Linked DNA regions of Notamacropus eugenii. The protein of the gene in region 1 interacts with the protein of each later gene in a biochemical or structural test. Links are inferred from orthologs where the notes say so. Each region holds a gene or a part of one and is shown in the gene's direction. Other genes may lie near its edges.

What was found.
Region 2: the proteins of NID1 (region 1) and FBLN1 form a complex in vitro, tested with the Homo sapiens proteins (3 studies listed by BioGRID). The link is inferred for Notamacropus eugenii from reciprocal best matches to the Homo sapiens genes NID1 and FBLN1.

What each region holds. Positions count from the first base shown.
Region 1 is NC_092873.1:395,773,867-395,781,282, reverse strand, and holds the start of NID1 (nidogen-1), read left to right. Parts: upstream 1-4,402; 5' UTR 4,403-4,696; coding exon 4,697-4,948; intron 4,949-7,416. UniProt on the Homo sapiens protein: Sulfated glycoprotein widely distributed in basement membranes and tightly associated with laminin. Also binds to collagen IV and perlecan. It probably has a role in cell-extracellular matrix interactions.
Region 2 is NC_092874.1:310,068,181-310,075,877, reverse strand, and holds the start of FBLN1 (fibulin-1), read left to right. Parts: upstream 1-4,688; 5' UTR 4,689-5,084; coding exon 5,085-5,151; intron 5,152-7,697. UniProt on the Homo sapiens protein: Incorporated into fibronectin-containing matrix fibers. May play a role in cell adhesion and migration along protein fibers within the extracellular matrix (ECM).

The sequences.
Region 1 (7,416 bases):
GAAGACACTATCTGAATCCAGAGAAAGAAGTGTGTAATAATGGGAGTTAAAGATCTTCCCCACCCATCAACAGGTCTCAGGTGGAGCCCATCAAGGGAAGCTTGATTAGGGGAAATCTGTTTTGTAGGAAGGCTCACATCTTTGGTTAATTGTTAATGTGGCACTGGGTCATGATACCTTCTGGCTCTGAAAAGTGTATATATACTATGAGGTGAGGTTTTGCTTGGGGGCTTACTCTTTGGAAGAAGGTTTGTGTGCAGATGAGACTCTGACTAGTCATTAAGAAGCCCCCTCCCCCATCCCACCCCCATCTCCCCTGTGCTTTGAAAACCCAGATGTTGGTGCCTCTCTCTCTGGTAACTATGTATGTATGTAATGGTCAGACAGTTGGATTTGTCTGTTGATCTGTGATGTATATACTGCTTATGTTCAGACAGTTAGAAGCCCTGTCTGTTGATCTTTATTTCTCTGCTTGTATTTTCTCTGTTGGCATATATGATTAAAGAAGACTATGACCTCTCAAAAGTTGCTTTCCTTTTAGAAAAGCAGATGTAAGAACCCATGCCAGCAGGTTACACTGGATGTGTCAGGGTGCTTGCTGCTACAAAGTGCTAAATAGAAGTATGTATAGAATGATTATATACTGCCAGGCCTAGAGGCCTGTGGGCTACCCGAGTCTTCTTACCTCACCTCCCGAGGTCTTCGGTTGGCCAAACTGGATGCTCGTATGAGAGAAAGGACGTTCCAGAGTCGAACAAGGGTTGAGCTTTATTTCAGGGTCTAGTTACAAGTGCAGGGGAATTCTTCCTTAGGAGGGAAAGAGAATGATCTCCCAAGGAGGCAAAGATCTTACAATAAGAGATTGGAAGTAGAAGTATAAGCGGGGAGAGAGGGGGAGGGGAGAGAGGAGAGAGGAAAAGCGGAGCCTTGTTGTCCTGTCCGCTCCGCGCCCCTCCGCCCAAGAGAGCTTTCAGGCTTTCCTGATCCTACTTAAACCCTCCAGCAGCATAGTTTGCATCTGAATACTGTGCTGTTAGATAACAATAGTGTGCCCAGATCCAGGACAATCTCGAGGGCGGGGAGAGCTCTCTCCCATCACATTTCTCACGGGAAGAGGAGGAAATACACGAGATAGCTCGGTTCACCTCGATTCCCAGCCGTTTCCTGGGGGGTCTCGTGAGAACTCTAAGATTTAGAAGTTCCCACCTTTACCTGCCCAAGACTGTCCACATGGAATTGAACTTCCAACCCTAGCATCATACATATACATATGCACACACATACGTATTTGTGTCTAATAGTAGCCATCTCTAGAGGTGCAGAAGGGAGTGAAGGGGGGGAAAAGAAATTTATATGACAACTTTATTATATATTTGAATGGAATAGCAAATTGTATATAGTATATTTGCAGTTTCATGTATAATCTTTTTATGTCATGTCATGATAATGCTTGTTTTATCCCATAAATTAAAAAAATAATAATATTCTCTTAATATTGTCTGGGACTTGAGATTAGCTTGGAGAATTTACCATAACTCAAGGTCTAGTTCTTTATTTCGATCTGCCTACAGGAAAATTCCACTTGAACTTCCAATTATCACTTCAAATTTACATTCTAAAACTCAACCTCATATTCCCATCCTAACTAGATCTCTTTCCCAACCATCTAATTTTCCAGTCTCCAAGGAGTTATATTTATGTTCTTTACTTATTCTTGCTAAATTTATCACAGATCCTCTTGATTTTTCCTTTGCTATTTTTCTTGGAGTTATCCCTCTCTTTCTGTCCATTGGCACTGCTATCATCCTGTTCCATGTTTTCGTGACTGAATTATTGCAAAAGCCTTTTAACCGGTCTCCTTTCTTCCATTATCTCCTCTCTCCAACCTATCCAGCACATTGCTTCCAGATTAGCAATTAGGTAATTTTACTATCTCCAAACTCTATTGTTGACAATTCATTCTTTATAGTTTCCCAAAGTTATCTTTCTAATGATTACTTAGTCACAGGTTTATCAGACCACTTAAGCTCAAAAACCTTCAATATTTTCTCATTAACTAATAGATAAAATACAAATTCATTAGCATGGAATTTAAGGTTCTAATGGACTTTCCAGTCTTTGTTCCTTCTGTTTTCCTTCACATCCTCCATGCTCCAGTCTAAACAGACTACTAACTCTTCCCTTACTTCTGACTTTTTCTGTTGGCATGTTATCAACCATCCCTCTATCAGACTCTTCCCTGCTCCCAATCTCTAATTGTTCACATCTTTCCTCTCCCTCAATAACTGAGCTACCAATTAGCCTGTCTTGATCTTTCCTGCTAGTCAGAAATCCTTCCCTTCTTGAATTTCTCAGACTGTTCTGCTCGCCCTTTCCTTCATATTTAATCAATTTCTAACTTGTATCAAAAGTTATTTGTGTTTATGACATCTTTTCCTCCATATACCCACTGTATTATAAAGTACTTGAGGAGAAGAATTATTATTTTTCACCTTTATATTCCTAACATCCAGAACAGTGCCTTACACGTAGCATTAATTTAATAAATAAATGCATGTTGAACTGAATTAAATTTAAATGACTAGTAGTTTTTTTCTCTCCAAATAGATTGTAAAAATTCGGAAGTCAGGCAGGCAGGCAACAAGCATATATTGAGGAGTTACAATACACCAGATGCTGTGTTAAGTACTAGAAATTATTTTAAAAAAAGAAAAGAAAAGAAAAGAAAACCAAAAAACAGCATTCCCTGACCTCAGAGAGAATTCATTCTAATGTGGGAGACAACATGTAAACAACTAGGCACATACAAGATATGTACAGAGTAGATGAATGATAATGTGAAAGGAGATAGCCCTAGTAGCTGGGAGAACTAGGGAAGACCTTCAGTAGAGGTGGGCTTTGAACTGACACTTGAAGAAAGCCAAGGAAGAAAGCCAAAAAGCCAAGGGATAAGGGGATAAAGGATTCCAAGCAGAGGGGAAACGGAAAGTTGTCTTTGTGGAACTGGAAATAGGCCAGTTTATCTGGATCGAAGAGAATGTAGTGGGGAGTAAAGTCTAAACTGACTGAAAAGGTAGAAAAGGGGCTGGATTATGAAGAGCTTTAAATGCCAAACAATAAAATACATTGTTATGCTAAAGGTAATAGGAAGCCACTGTAGCTCATTTAGCACAAGGGTGATATAAGCAGACTTACACTTCAGAAAAACCACCTAGCCAGTTGAGAGGAGGACACATTGAAATAATGAGAGATTTGAAGCAAGGAGGGAGACCAGCTAGAAAGTTAAAGCAGTAGTACAAGCAGGAGGTGATGAACTAGGCTTGTATGAGAGCAGAGAAATGTTATTAAGACAGAAAGGACAAGGTTTGGCTACAGATGGGATATGTGAGGTTAAAGTGAGGACTTAAGAATAACATGGTGGTTGTGAGCCTGGGTATCTAGGAGGATGGCTGTGCTCTCAATAGTACAAGAAAATCGTAGAGTTTGGTAGAGTGTGATGGTGTTGGGCAGGGAAGGAATGAGATAATGAGTTTAATTTTGGACATGCTAAGTTTGAGATACCCATGCAATATTCAGTTTGAGTTGTGCCTGAGGCATTTGGAAGTGGGAAACTAGCTTAGGAAATAGACTAGGGCGGAATATGAAAATCTGGGCATCTTCTCCATAGAAGTGTTAATTGATCCCATGGGAGCACCAACTTAGGTGCGAGGTAGTATACAGGGAAATAGGAAGAGGGCAGAGACTATAAGCTATAGGTCCTTGTATTCATGCCAACAGTGAACACCGGGTTGACAACAGGAGGTAAATAGAGATAGCTGTGCTGTGGTATAAAGAATACTGGATGTTGGACCAGAGGACTTTCTGCTGCTTTCCATTTCTGCAAAGTTGGGAAAGTCATGTAAACACATGGGGCCTCCTCTGTAAAATCAGGGAGCTAGACTGGAGCATCTCGAAACATCCTTCCAGCTCTAGATTCTATACCTACACACAGTTGATACTTAGTTGATAAAACGAACGTCGTCCCGGCACAGTTCCTTTCTTGACAGATAGCTGGAGATAGCACCTCCGAGTTAGCAATTTTATGAGTCTACAGCTCTAGCAGCTAAAGACTCCAGCAGCCTTGTAAAGAGGCCCTATTTGGCAAACCAAAGAGATTTCTTCTACTTTAAAAACAAACTCAATAGCCAAGCCAATTGAAGATTTTATAAAATGTAAAACTTTCAACAAAGTCCAGAGTTTAACCCCCTTCCTCCCCGAAGGGACCATTCATTTACCTTCAAAAATGACTAAGTCCTAATATTGAGATGAATAGTGATGGAGTTCAGTGAAGAACCCCGGGAAAAATACGGGGAGAAAAAAATAGGAAATGTACACAGGGAAGGGTCCCTACTTCAGAACAGCTGTTGGACCTGGGAAGGGGTCGGAGGAGTGACCCCTCCTTCCTCACTCCTATTGGTTCTGCTTCTCTGAGGTTGATTGGGTAGATGTCCCTTTCCCCTCCTCTCTCCATGCCCCCTTTGGCTCTCCTCCCCGATTTCCCCGTTTGGAATTTTCTAAACTGGAGGCTTGTAGGGGCTGTTGAGGGTCTTCTGATTACAGCTCAGCCGCGGGCGTCACCCTTCCTGTCTCCTGCTGGGGACCCCGCTCAGCTTCTAGGTCACTGAAAAGTTTGGATTTGGGGGTACCTTACTGGGACATGATGTCTCCCAGGGATCTTAAGAGGAAGAGAGGGGAGATGACTGCATGGACGCGGGTTGTGCTACTGCTGCCCTTGGCCCTACTTCTGCCCGCCGTGCCCGGGGACTGCCTGAGTAGGCAGGAGCTCTTCCCTTTCGGACCCGAGCAAGGGGACCAGGAGCTGGAATCTGGGGACGACTCCATCTCCCCAGCGCTAGAGCTCCGACTGCCGATCCACTTCTATGACAAATACGATGTCTCCTCCGTCTATGTGAGTACAGTCCTCGTGTGTGAGTGTGTGAGTGTGTGTGTGTGTGTGTGTGTGTGTGTGTGTGTGTGTGAGGGTGTGTAGGTGTGTTGGAGTCGGAGTATAAGGGAAGATGGGGAGCGAGAGAGGGGGGTGGTGGGGGATGTTCTGGGCAAGGGAAAGGGTGCTTGGAGTAGAGGTAAGATCCGACGTGGGGAACTTACAGACCCAGGCGCCAGGGGAAGTGCTTCTGGGGCAATCTCTGGGCCTAGTGTGAGGGGAAGCCCTAGGGTCTCGTTTACACCCCTCGGGTTTGTATTTTCGGCGCCTCCACTGCCTCCTGTGCGCTGCTCCCATTCAACCCCGGCTTTGCCTTCCTCTTCACTTCTCCCAGAGTATGTGTCTTTGGGAGTTGCCTCTCAGCTGGTTTCCGCCCTCTAGGGAAGAAAGGGACTTGGGGAGCCACACTTTTCTCTACTTTGGCATCCCTATTTTATGCTGCTACCCTTGAATTCCAGACCGGAATTTGCATCTCCTCCAAAAGAAAGGGGGATTTAGCGCCTGGGAACTTTGCTTGTAATTTTTCCATTGTCCTGTTAGTTTGGAGGAGGGAGCACACGACCTTCTCTGTACAGCTTGTACTCTGTACAAGCCCAGGATTAAATCACCTCCATCAGAGTTCAGCCCTGCATGGCCGAGAGCTGAGAACCCACAGTCTTGCTCAAATGCCACATGGTGCCCAAAGCATAGGAGGTCAGGAGTGCTGACACGAAGGGATTAAACCTCATTCTTTGCCCTTGGGTAATTAACTTGCAGAAGAAATTTCTGTGTATTTCCAAGGACTGATTTCGGAGGCTTTTTGTATGTGGCTTTCAAGGTATCTCTTGGCAATGATTCACCTCCCTAAGTAGGCTTATTTTAGAGCCCAGACAGCAGTATAATGGACTAAGAGAACCCTTGTGATCTAATTTCCTGTTGCATTGTGTGTGTGTGTGTTCGTCCCTCGTTGCCAAAGAAGATCATACCATCAGAGAAATAATGACATGACCATTGTAGACTTTAAAAGAAGAGTGAAATCAGGCAACTTTTAGAGCTCTAATGAACTTCATGTCTGATGACAGAAAATCTGTCCAGGCTTCTAATAAATTCCATATAGAAGTTGGGTTTTTCCCCTCTGTGAAGTGTTACTGATCTCAGCCCAATCTCATCCTTTTCCTCTCCCCTTCATGTGGATTTTACATTTATCGTATGTGTTCCAGAAGTGGGGAAACACACGTACCATTGTATCCTGCCTGTTAAATGGAAATGTTTTGTGAGAGGACTGGTTGAACTTTGCCTTTGACAACGCCCACGTGTAGCTTTTCTCCTTTACATAAGAATGCTTAAGTCAAGAACTCACAGAGAAGGGACTCTAAGCAGGGCTTTATTAGAGAACCCTCTAAGAGTTCTTTCTATCTATTGTACTGCTGTCGGGTCTCTAAAATAAGCCTATTCAGGGAGGTGAATCATTGCCAAGAGATAACCAAAAGCCACACACCAAATGTCTTGGCATTAGACCTAGAAAGGGACCTTAGAGGTCGGTTACAAGGTCTAGCAGATAGCAAGTTGGGTCTGGAGTCAGAAAACCTGAGTTCAAATGTGACCTCAGATGCTTACTAGCTGTGTGATCGGGTGAGTTATTTAATCACTGTTTGCTTCAATTTCCTGAACTTCAAAATAAAGATAATAATAGCACCTACCTCAATAGGTTGTTGTGAGAATTAAATGAGATAATATTTGTAAAACACCTGGCACATAATAAGAGTTTAATAAATACTTTTTTTCTTCTTTCTATCACAAAAGTAGTTTTAAATCTGTAAGGGACTTTAGAGGTCACCCAGTGTAATTCTCTCATTTTATAGATGGAAATTCTAAAGCCCAGATAGGTTACGTGACTTGCCCAGGGTTACCAAATCCAGGTCCTCTGATTCCAGATCCAGTATACTGGTCATCTTGTCTAACTCTTTCATTTATAGATGAGAAAGCTGAGGTTCAGATCATTCTACAGATGACATATAAAGCTTTAAAGTTTGCAAAGCACTCTGGCTACATGATCTCATTTGACTCTCATAGCAACCCTGGTCTGCAAGTACTTACAGATAATATCATCCCCGTTTTACTGAAGAGCAAATTAAGGCAATTAGAGGTTAAGCATCTTGCCTAAAGTCACAATGTCAGAGGCAGAATTTGAACCCAGGCCTCTTTTTATTTGTGTGGCTTATTCTTTGTGTGGCTCCAATTTGCCTTTTTGCCATGGCATTAACCTAAATATCTGGGGATCTCCTAAAGACTTGGAAACAAGCTCTGGAATTTGATTGTTTCCAAAATAAATTCCAATCATTCAGTTACCCAGATAACTGGGTAGGTTTTTATTTTTTGTATATATGTGAGAGAATTCCAGACTCCTTTTTGGATATTGGATTGTATATGTAAGAACTAAATATTTTATGAGC
Region 2 (7,697 bases), on another chromosome or scaffold:
AGAGCCTGAGAGGGATACTGTGCAGCAGCTGTCCCTCCCAGCCTCCTGTCTGTCACTTGTCCATTTGATGGAGATCCTATCTATGCCTTTGTCCAAATCTTTGATAAAAATATTTCAAAACAGAGTCAGTCAGCCAGTCAATAAACATTCCTTTATTAACTGACTGACTCATGGAGGAGGGCCGACAGATCTCTGGCGCACTCCACTAGAAACCTCCTTCCAAGTGGACGCTACATTCATCTTTGGGTCTAGTCATTCAAAGCAGTTTCAGATCCATGTGGCTGATTTGATCTCTGGCTCATGAGAGAAATTGTGGAATATTTCCTTGAAATCTGACTAAGTAACATCTCCAGCATTCCTCTGATCTGGAAATCCAGTCAATTTATGATATGAGGAAAATGAGGCGGATGAGTTGTCTGCCCTGCCCTGCCCTGCCTGATGGAACTTTCTTCAGCCTTGTGAGAGGTGCTTCATTTTCCAAATGTTCAGGAACCATTCCTTTAATGATACCTGACTGGGCAGAGGGGAGGTGTTGAAGGAGGAGTCAGGAAGACATCAAGACCTGTTATGAAGGATGTGTTTGCAGAACTTTATAAGTGATTAGATGTGAGAGGCAAGTGAGATGCGTGAGCATCTGGGAGACTGGAGGTGACATGAGCCTCATAGGAAAGACAGGCAGAAGGGAATGTTTGGGGCACAGTGATTGCAGAATTGGAGTGTTGTTTGGGAGAAGGCTGGGGCTAGAGATACAGCTGTGGAAACTGTCCATAGCAAGGGCTTGTTAGATCCACCAGAGGTGACACACGGTGAGAAGATTTAGGGAATGGAAGAAAGAAGAGAAGTTGGTCAGCAAGGACCAAGTGCTTTAGTTGCTGATCCCATGGGCCATCCGGTGATGTCCTGACCAGGTGACCCTGAGCCAGTTGCCAGCCCCCAGCATCCAGGAGGCCTCTGACACAAGAAGGGGAAGAGGAGGGCTGACTTGCATCAGTGCAGTTCCACCAACAGGGATCTCCTGAAATCTCAGGGTCTGAGCCTGATCCCCCAAATGACGTGAGGGGCATTAGACAGGTGAGCTCTGAGGGATATTCTCTAAGCCAGAAGATACAAGATGCAGAAGGGTTGGAGATCTGGACCAAGGATCCTTAGGAAAGGAGGGTGGGGAAGAAGTTCCATTGAGGCAGAGACAGCCAGAAGCATCCAAAGCATTCCACACTGCAAACAGGTGGAGAAGGAGGCGACTCAGGCACAGGCCATGCCATTTGGCACAGCAGGCATTGGTGATTTCCCAAAGCATTCTTTCAGTTGAGTTATGTAGGCAGGAGTTAGACTGGGGAGAATCTGGGGAGGGAATGGGTTTCTGCAGGCCAAGGGGGAAGAGCTTGAACACTGACCCCTAGCCTTTTGTGAGAAGGATTTGTGGAGAGCTCAGCTCTAGGAAAATCCCTCCTGGAAGGAGACTCAGGAGGTGGGAGATGAGTGGGAACACCTTCCCCAAGTGGGTTCTCCTGCTCCTGATAGGGAGTCTCAAATATCCACTGGATGGATCCCCAAGGAAGGGAAGCAGAGAGGGCCCAAAGCCAACTTCAGATATTGTGTGTGTATGTGTGTGTGTGTGTGTGTGTGTGTGTGTGTGTGTGTGTGAGATGTGCTCTGTGACAGGCCTGTGAACAATTGCTAGGCAAATATGAGGGCCAGCTGTTCCCCATTACCCAGGTCAGTGGGAAGGTTAGGGGCTGGTCTCAGGCAGGGACTTAGATCAGACTGCTGTGGAGAATTTTCTAGCTCTGCTGGAGGTGCATGAGCAAGCTGACCAACTCAGCAAAGTCCCTGAGCCCTCCTTCCCAGAGGCCTTGAAACAGAGAACACATTCTCCTGAGCTTGGCTAGGAAGCTAGGATGAGAGGCAGTGACAGCCCAGGGTGACCCTCTCCGTTCCTCTTGGTCCATCTTTCTGGCTGTAGCTCAACCCTTGACTGGTCCAGAACCCCTCACCGAACATTTCCCCTCTCCTTTACTTTGGGTGAGACTTTCTGCCCCTTCTCTTCCCCTCACCCTCCATCTCTCTCCTCATTGCATCCCAATGACCAATGTCTCCACCATTCAGTTTATCCAACTTTTAAACTCTGGGACTTTGGGGTCTGCCTCCCAGCAGAGAACTCACTGGGGCCACACCTGGTTTTAATTGGTTTTCTGCCCAGTTCTTGGGAACTCTTCATAGGGTTAGAACATGGGTTCTCTTTCTGATGGGACCAGCCCCTCCCTTTGGACCTGAGTTGGGCCTGGCTCTGCCCATAGGAAGACCCAGTCAGCATAAGTGGAGCCTAGAACATGGCAAGGATGTAATCTCTACCAGGTGGCAAACTCTAGAGGTGGGTAACCCAATATCACTTGACACATAGTAGGTGCTTAATAAAGGCCTATTAATGGACTGAGTGCATAGAATCCTATATTTAAGGCTGGTCCCTAACATTAGAGGCTATCTGGTCCACATTCTCCTTTTATACAGGTGGAAACTGAGGCTCAGGAAATGAAAGTGATTTGCTCTGGAGGCTGCTCAATCACACAGTGTTCACAGTGTGGGAGCCTGGAGTCAGGAAGACCTGAGCTCACATGTAGCTTTAGACACTAGCTCTAGGACCCTGGGCAGGCCACTTAATTTCTGTCTAAGTTTCCTTAGCTATAAAATGGGGACAATAATACTTACTTTACAATATTGTTGTTGATATTTGTAAAAACAGCTAATCAGGTGCTGGGCCCAGATCCAGACCTATCGAGTGATGGATCGCTAGCAGGCTCAGTGGGTAGAGTGATGGGCCTGGAGTCAGGAACATGAGTCTTCCTGAGTTCAAATCTGGCCCCAGACACTTACTAGTTGTGTGACCCTGGGCAAGTCATTTCACCCTGTTTGCCTCCATTTCCTCATCTGTAAAATGAGTTGGAGAAGGAAAGGGCAAACCACTGCAGTATCTGCTGAGAAAACCCCAAATGGGGTTACCAAGAGTCCACCATGACTGAAAAAATGAGTGAACAACAACAAAAAACCTGACTGTGCCAGGCCTTATGCTAAATACTGGGAATACAAAAAGAGGTAGAAGACAGTCCCTGTCCTCAAGGATCTTACAGTCTCACAGGGGCAGCAAGATGCATACAAAACTACACAAAGCAAGCTCTAGATGGTATAGAAAGTAACAGAGGGATAGCATGGGAAGTCAAAGTGTTTGGAGGAAAGCTTCCTGTCCAAGGGGGCTGTAGGACTGAATGGAAGCCAGGGAGATCAGTAAGCAGAGTGCAGAATGAAGAGCATCCCAAGAAAAGGCCCAGAGCCGAGAGAGGGAATGTTTTGTTTGTGACCAGAGTCTGTACTGTGTCAGAGGAGAGAAGGGGACGTACCAGAGAGATGCTGAAAAGCCTCAGCAACATATTAGATATGGGTTGGGGGGTGGATGAGAAAGATCAAGGAGTCCAGGCTGACTCCTAGATGGGGAGCCTAAGGGACTGGGCAGAAGGTGGTGCCCTCTATAGTCATATGGAAGGTAGGAGCAGAGGAGGTTTAGGAGGAAAGATAATTAGTTTACTGTTAAATGTATGGAGTTTCAGATGTCTACTGGACATCTAATTCTGGATATCTGGGAGGCAGTTACCTGGAGAGCCCTGCAATGAAGTGTTGTGAAGACATTTTAGTTGACTTCCTTGGATTAGAATAAGAATTAGGATAAGAAAATTATTCCATCTCCCCCTCCCCCAAAGTACTAATTAGGTTTCCTCTTTGCCTATTTGCTTTTTCCCTCCCCTTCTGGTGCTGCAATTGTTAGGGTGTCTACTGATTGTTAAGCAAACGTAAAAGAAAGAGAAACCTCTGGGTTCAGAGGTCAGAGGCTGAGGGTTGAGAGTCAATAATCCCACCTTCAGGGAGGGGAGAGAGAGGGGCAGGGAGAAGAGGGAGGGAGGGGAGGGAGGGGAGGGAGGGGGAGACAGACAGCTTGGAGCAGCCCATCACTGGGGTTTTCAGCCAACTCTGATATTCTGTGGCTCAGTAAATCCTGATATCCAGTAAATATTTGTAACAGTTGAGGGGCGGGGGAAGAGAGAGAGAGAGAAAGACAGAGAGAGGGAGGAAGAGAAAGAGGGAGAGGGAGAGGGACAGGGACAGGGAGAGAGAGAGTTGCAGAAAAGGAGGTGGCTGCTCTCCTGGTGCCCATAGTCTGGAGACTGATAAGACGAAAATACAGATAAGTAGAACACAGAACAATGCCCATGATAAGTGGCTTTCCCTGGAGGGGGCAAAGTGCTCCTTCTGAGGTGGGGGATGGGAGTGTTCAGGACAGGGGCCTCCGGGAAGCATGGACTCCCCATCACTTGTTGTGATGGATGGGGCAAAGGGGACTGTGGGTCCTGGAGGGACATGTCTCAGAGCCTGTTCTCTGGTTCCGGTATTCTGAAGGGGCACTGAGTGACCTTCAGTCTTAGGCCTGGCAGGAGTCCAGTAGAGTGGGGTGGCTTTGGAGAAACTCCAACCGAGGGCCCCTTCCCCTCTCCACTTTTGGAAAGAAGCGAGGGCAGAGGAACATGAGAGGAGAGAAAAGGGGAGACAGACTGAGACACGCAGAGAGAGACAAGACAGGAGCAGAGAGCTGGACAGACAGAGCAGAGGGAGGGGGAAAGAGTCGTTTTTGTTTTTAAAGAACCCCGAACCCGGGAGACGGAAAGAGCCAGGCAGCCAGAAATCCAGCCCGGAGCGGCCTGCTGCCATCACTCCAGCGATCGGCCCGCCCCACGCCCGCCCGCCCCCCGCCCCAGTCCCCCGCCCCATCTCCCGCTCCCCCTAGCCTAGCCTGGGCTTGGGCCAGAGCGCTTCCAGGCGGGATAATTAAAAGGAGCAGGGCGAGTCGCTCCCGAGGACAGAAGCAAGCGGGCGGCCCGGGGACCGCTGGGCACCCCGCGTCCTCACACTCCCTCACACAAGTGCCCCCCAAGTCCAGAAGGGAGGAGCGGGAGCCGGGCCGCCGGCCGGAGAAGAAGGAGAAGTCGCTGGCCCCTTTGTGCGCTCAGGGGGCTCACCCCCTTCCCAGAGTCCCGCGCCCCATGGAGCCGGCCTGGCCGCCGCGCCCTCTGGGGCTGCTGGCCCTCGTCACGCTGCTGGCCGCCGGAGGTAAGGAGAGGGGCCAGCTGGGGGGCTGGGGACCGCCCCCAGAGCGCAGTCGTGGGGAGAGGGGCTCGGGCGCGAGGTGGTGCCGGAGACCTCAGCCCCTTAACGTCCCCCTTCTCTCTCTCACAGAAGGGCCTTCTGTGGGTTCCCCCCCGCCCCGCGCCTCCTTTCTCTCTGCCACTCCGGAGGAAGGGAACTTGTGATACCCGTCTGTCCTGTCGTGTTCTGGCCTCCCGTCCTGGCCACTGACACAACCCAACGGCATCGCCAGCCCCGGCACCCCAGGTGCCCAAGGGCTTCCGCCTCGTCTCTGCCTCCCTGCCCACACCCTCCCGCATTGCTCGCCATCCCCTCTCCCCCCCACCAACTCACTCTCCCCACTCTTCTCGGAGCTTTCTTTGAGAGGGCAGATGTTCTTCTCACCTGTGTGACCTCGGGCATATTGCTTCCCTGTTCCCGGCCTCGGTTTCCCCATCTGTCAAAAAGGGAGGTGGACTAGGTGTTTTCAGCCCACCCCCACCCCATCTTCCAAATTCTTTTCTCCCACCTCCTTGCCAACACATGCTAATTCCTAGGTTACTGTGGCAGAGTGAAAAAAGACTTGGGAGTGGAGAACGCTGGGTTCTCAGCATTCGCTGAGGGTGTCTATCCCTTGGTCAGAAGAGACTTTGTTGGGGCCCCTTCTCCCCTAGCTCACCCTCCCTTTTCTGGGCTGTAAAACCATATCAGGGAGGAGGCAGCCTTTTCCAGGGGTCCTGCCTGCAGTGTCCCCAGCTCTAATCTACACAAGCCCTTCCTAGCGTTGTTATTGAAACAATTAAAGCCAGAGACCAGAACCATTCCTGGTGAGGGGGTGGGGAGTGGGGAGAAGAGGGGCAGTGCTCAAGAGTCTGTGGGACAGAGCACATGTTTGCTTTCTCCTCCCCATGGGCATCCTGGCAGAATCTCTTTCCTCATTGGTGGAGTCCAGGTCTCAGGGAGTAGGGAGGGGGCTGCTCTGGACTTGGAGCTCTGGCTTCCTCCCCTGATTCTGTGGCCATTGGGCATGGGTGGGATTTCCTTGTCCAGAGTCTCATTTTCCTTATCTGTAGAATAGTGCCTTCAGCAGTAGTGCCTTCAGCACTTGGTGTTGGGAGAAAGCTTGTGAAAAAAGGAAGGATTTAGGAGAGACTCTGGCTGTCCAAGAGACATCCAGTCCAGTTCGGGGAGCTTTGGAAGCCAGGGCAGTGCCCAGACATGGGCACTCCCTCAGATAATTTGGCCAGCTCCAGAACCAGGCCTGGTCCCAGCCTCCATTCTTTGCCTTCCTGAAGGTCTTCAGGCAGAGATGGATGATCAGTTACCCACTAGAAGGTTCTTGTTCAGACAGGAGTGAGATTAGATGAGCATTGAGATGCTTTCCATTTCAGAATTGCCATGGTTCTCCCTGTACAGTCTTGTCCCTTCCCCTTTCTGGCCTCAGTTTCCTCATCTGTAAAATGAGATTCCCTGTTCTTTAATGTCCCTTTCAGCTTCCTCACCTATTTTAAAAAAACTGAGCTATATGGACTGGACAGCTGAGGTGGCCTTGCTGGCTCCTGACAGTGGACAGTAGCTTCTACCCTCTGGCATGGGCTGCTGGGCCTGGCAGCTGGAGAAATGGGACAGGAGAAGGTTCTGTCCCCTTCCTCCACCCCAGGCTTTCTTCTCACTAGTCACAGGCCTGACCTCCAGGCTGACTGGGAGCTCACCCCAAGGACATGCCTTTCTCTTCCACCCCCAGGCTCTTCCATTTATGGCTTTGGGGTGGGGGTGTTTCTCTTTGTGGGCCCCCAAACTACCAGAAAAGCTATTGGGCAAGTCTGAATGAGTGGGCAGCAGGGACCCCAAAGAGTCCCAAAGAGGAATCGATTTTGGTTAGCTATTTACATAACCCTGACAGGGACAGTCAAAGTTTCCCCTCCCCAAGCCCCCAGAGCCTCACTGGGGAGTTGAGGAGCTTCTGGCAGGTCTGGACAGGCCAGGATAGCTTCAGGCCTGGCCCATGGTTGGGGGGGAGCAAGGAGCTGGTGCCAAGGGATGGGTTACTTTGGCTCTAGTGCCTCATGGAGACCAAGGGAATCCCAGTAGGGCCCTACCCATCTCCATGGAGAGAGGAATGATGGAGGATGGGATCCCAGAGCCTAGCAGTCAATGACTGACAATGATAGAGCCAGACAATAAGATGGGATGATTTGAATCCAGGGTCCTCCCTCCTCTATTCTGCTTAGAGCATCAAATGACCCTGTATTAATACCCCAATTCAAAAGAATTCAAGAAGCCTCTGAATAGGGAATCCTTTCCTGGAGGTGTCTGGACCCACTGACTCCCCTGGCATCCTGAAAAGAGCCCTTGGCTAGCAGCAACAAAGCAGGAGCCTGATTCTACTGCTTTATTGACTTTGTGATGCTGGGGAAGGGGCATAATACCATCCTCCTCATCCATACCATGTACTGCCTCCCTGGTGGAGTGGTGGGAAGATGACACTGGTGGTGGTGTCCTGGAACCTGGGTTCTAAAGTCATCTCTCAT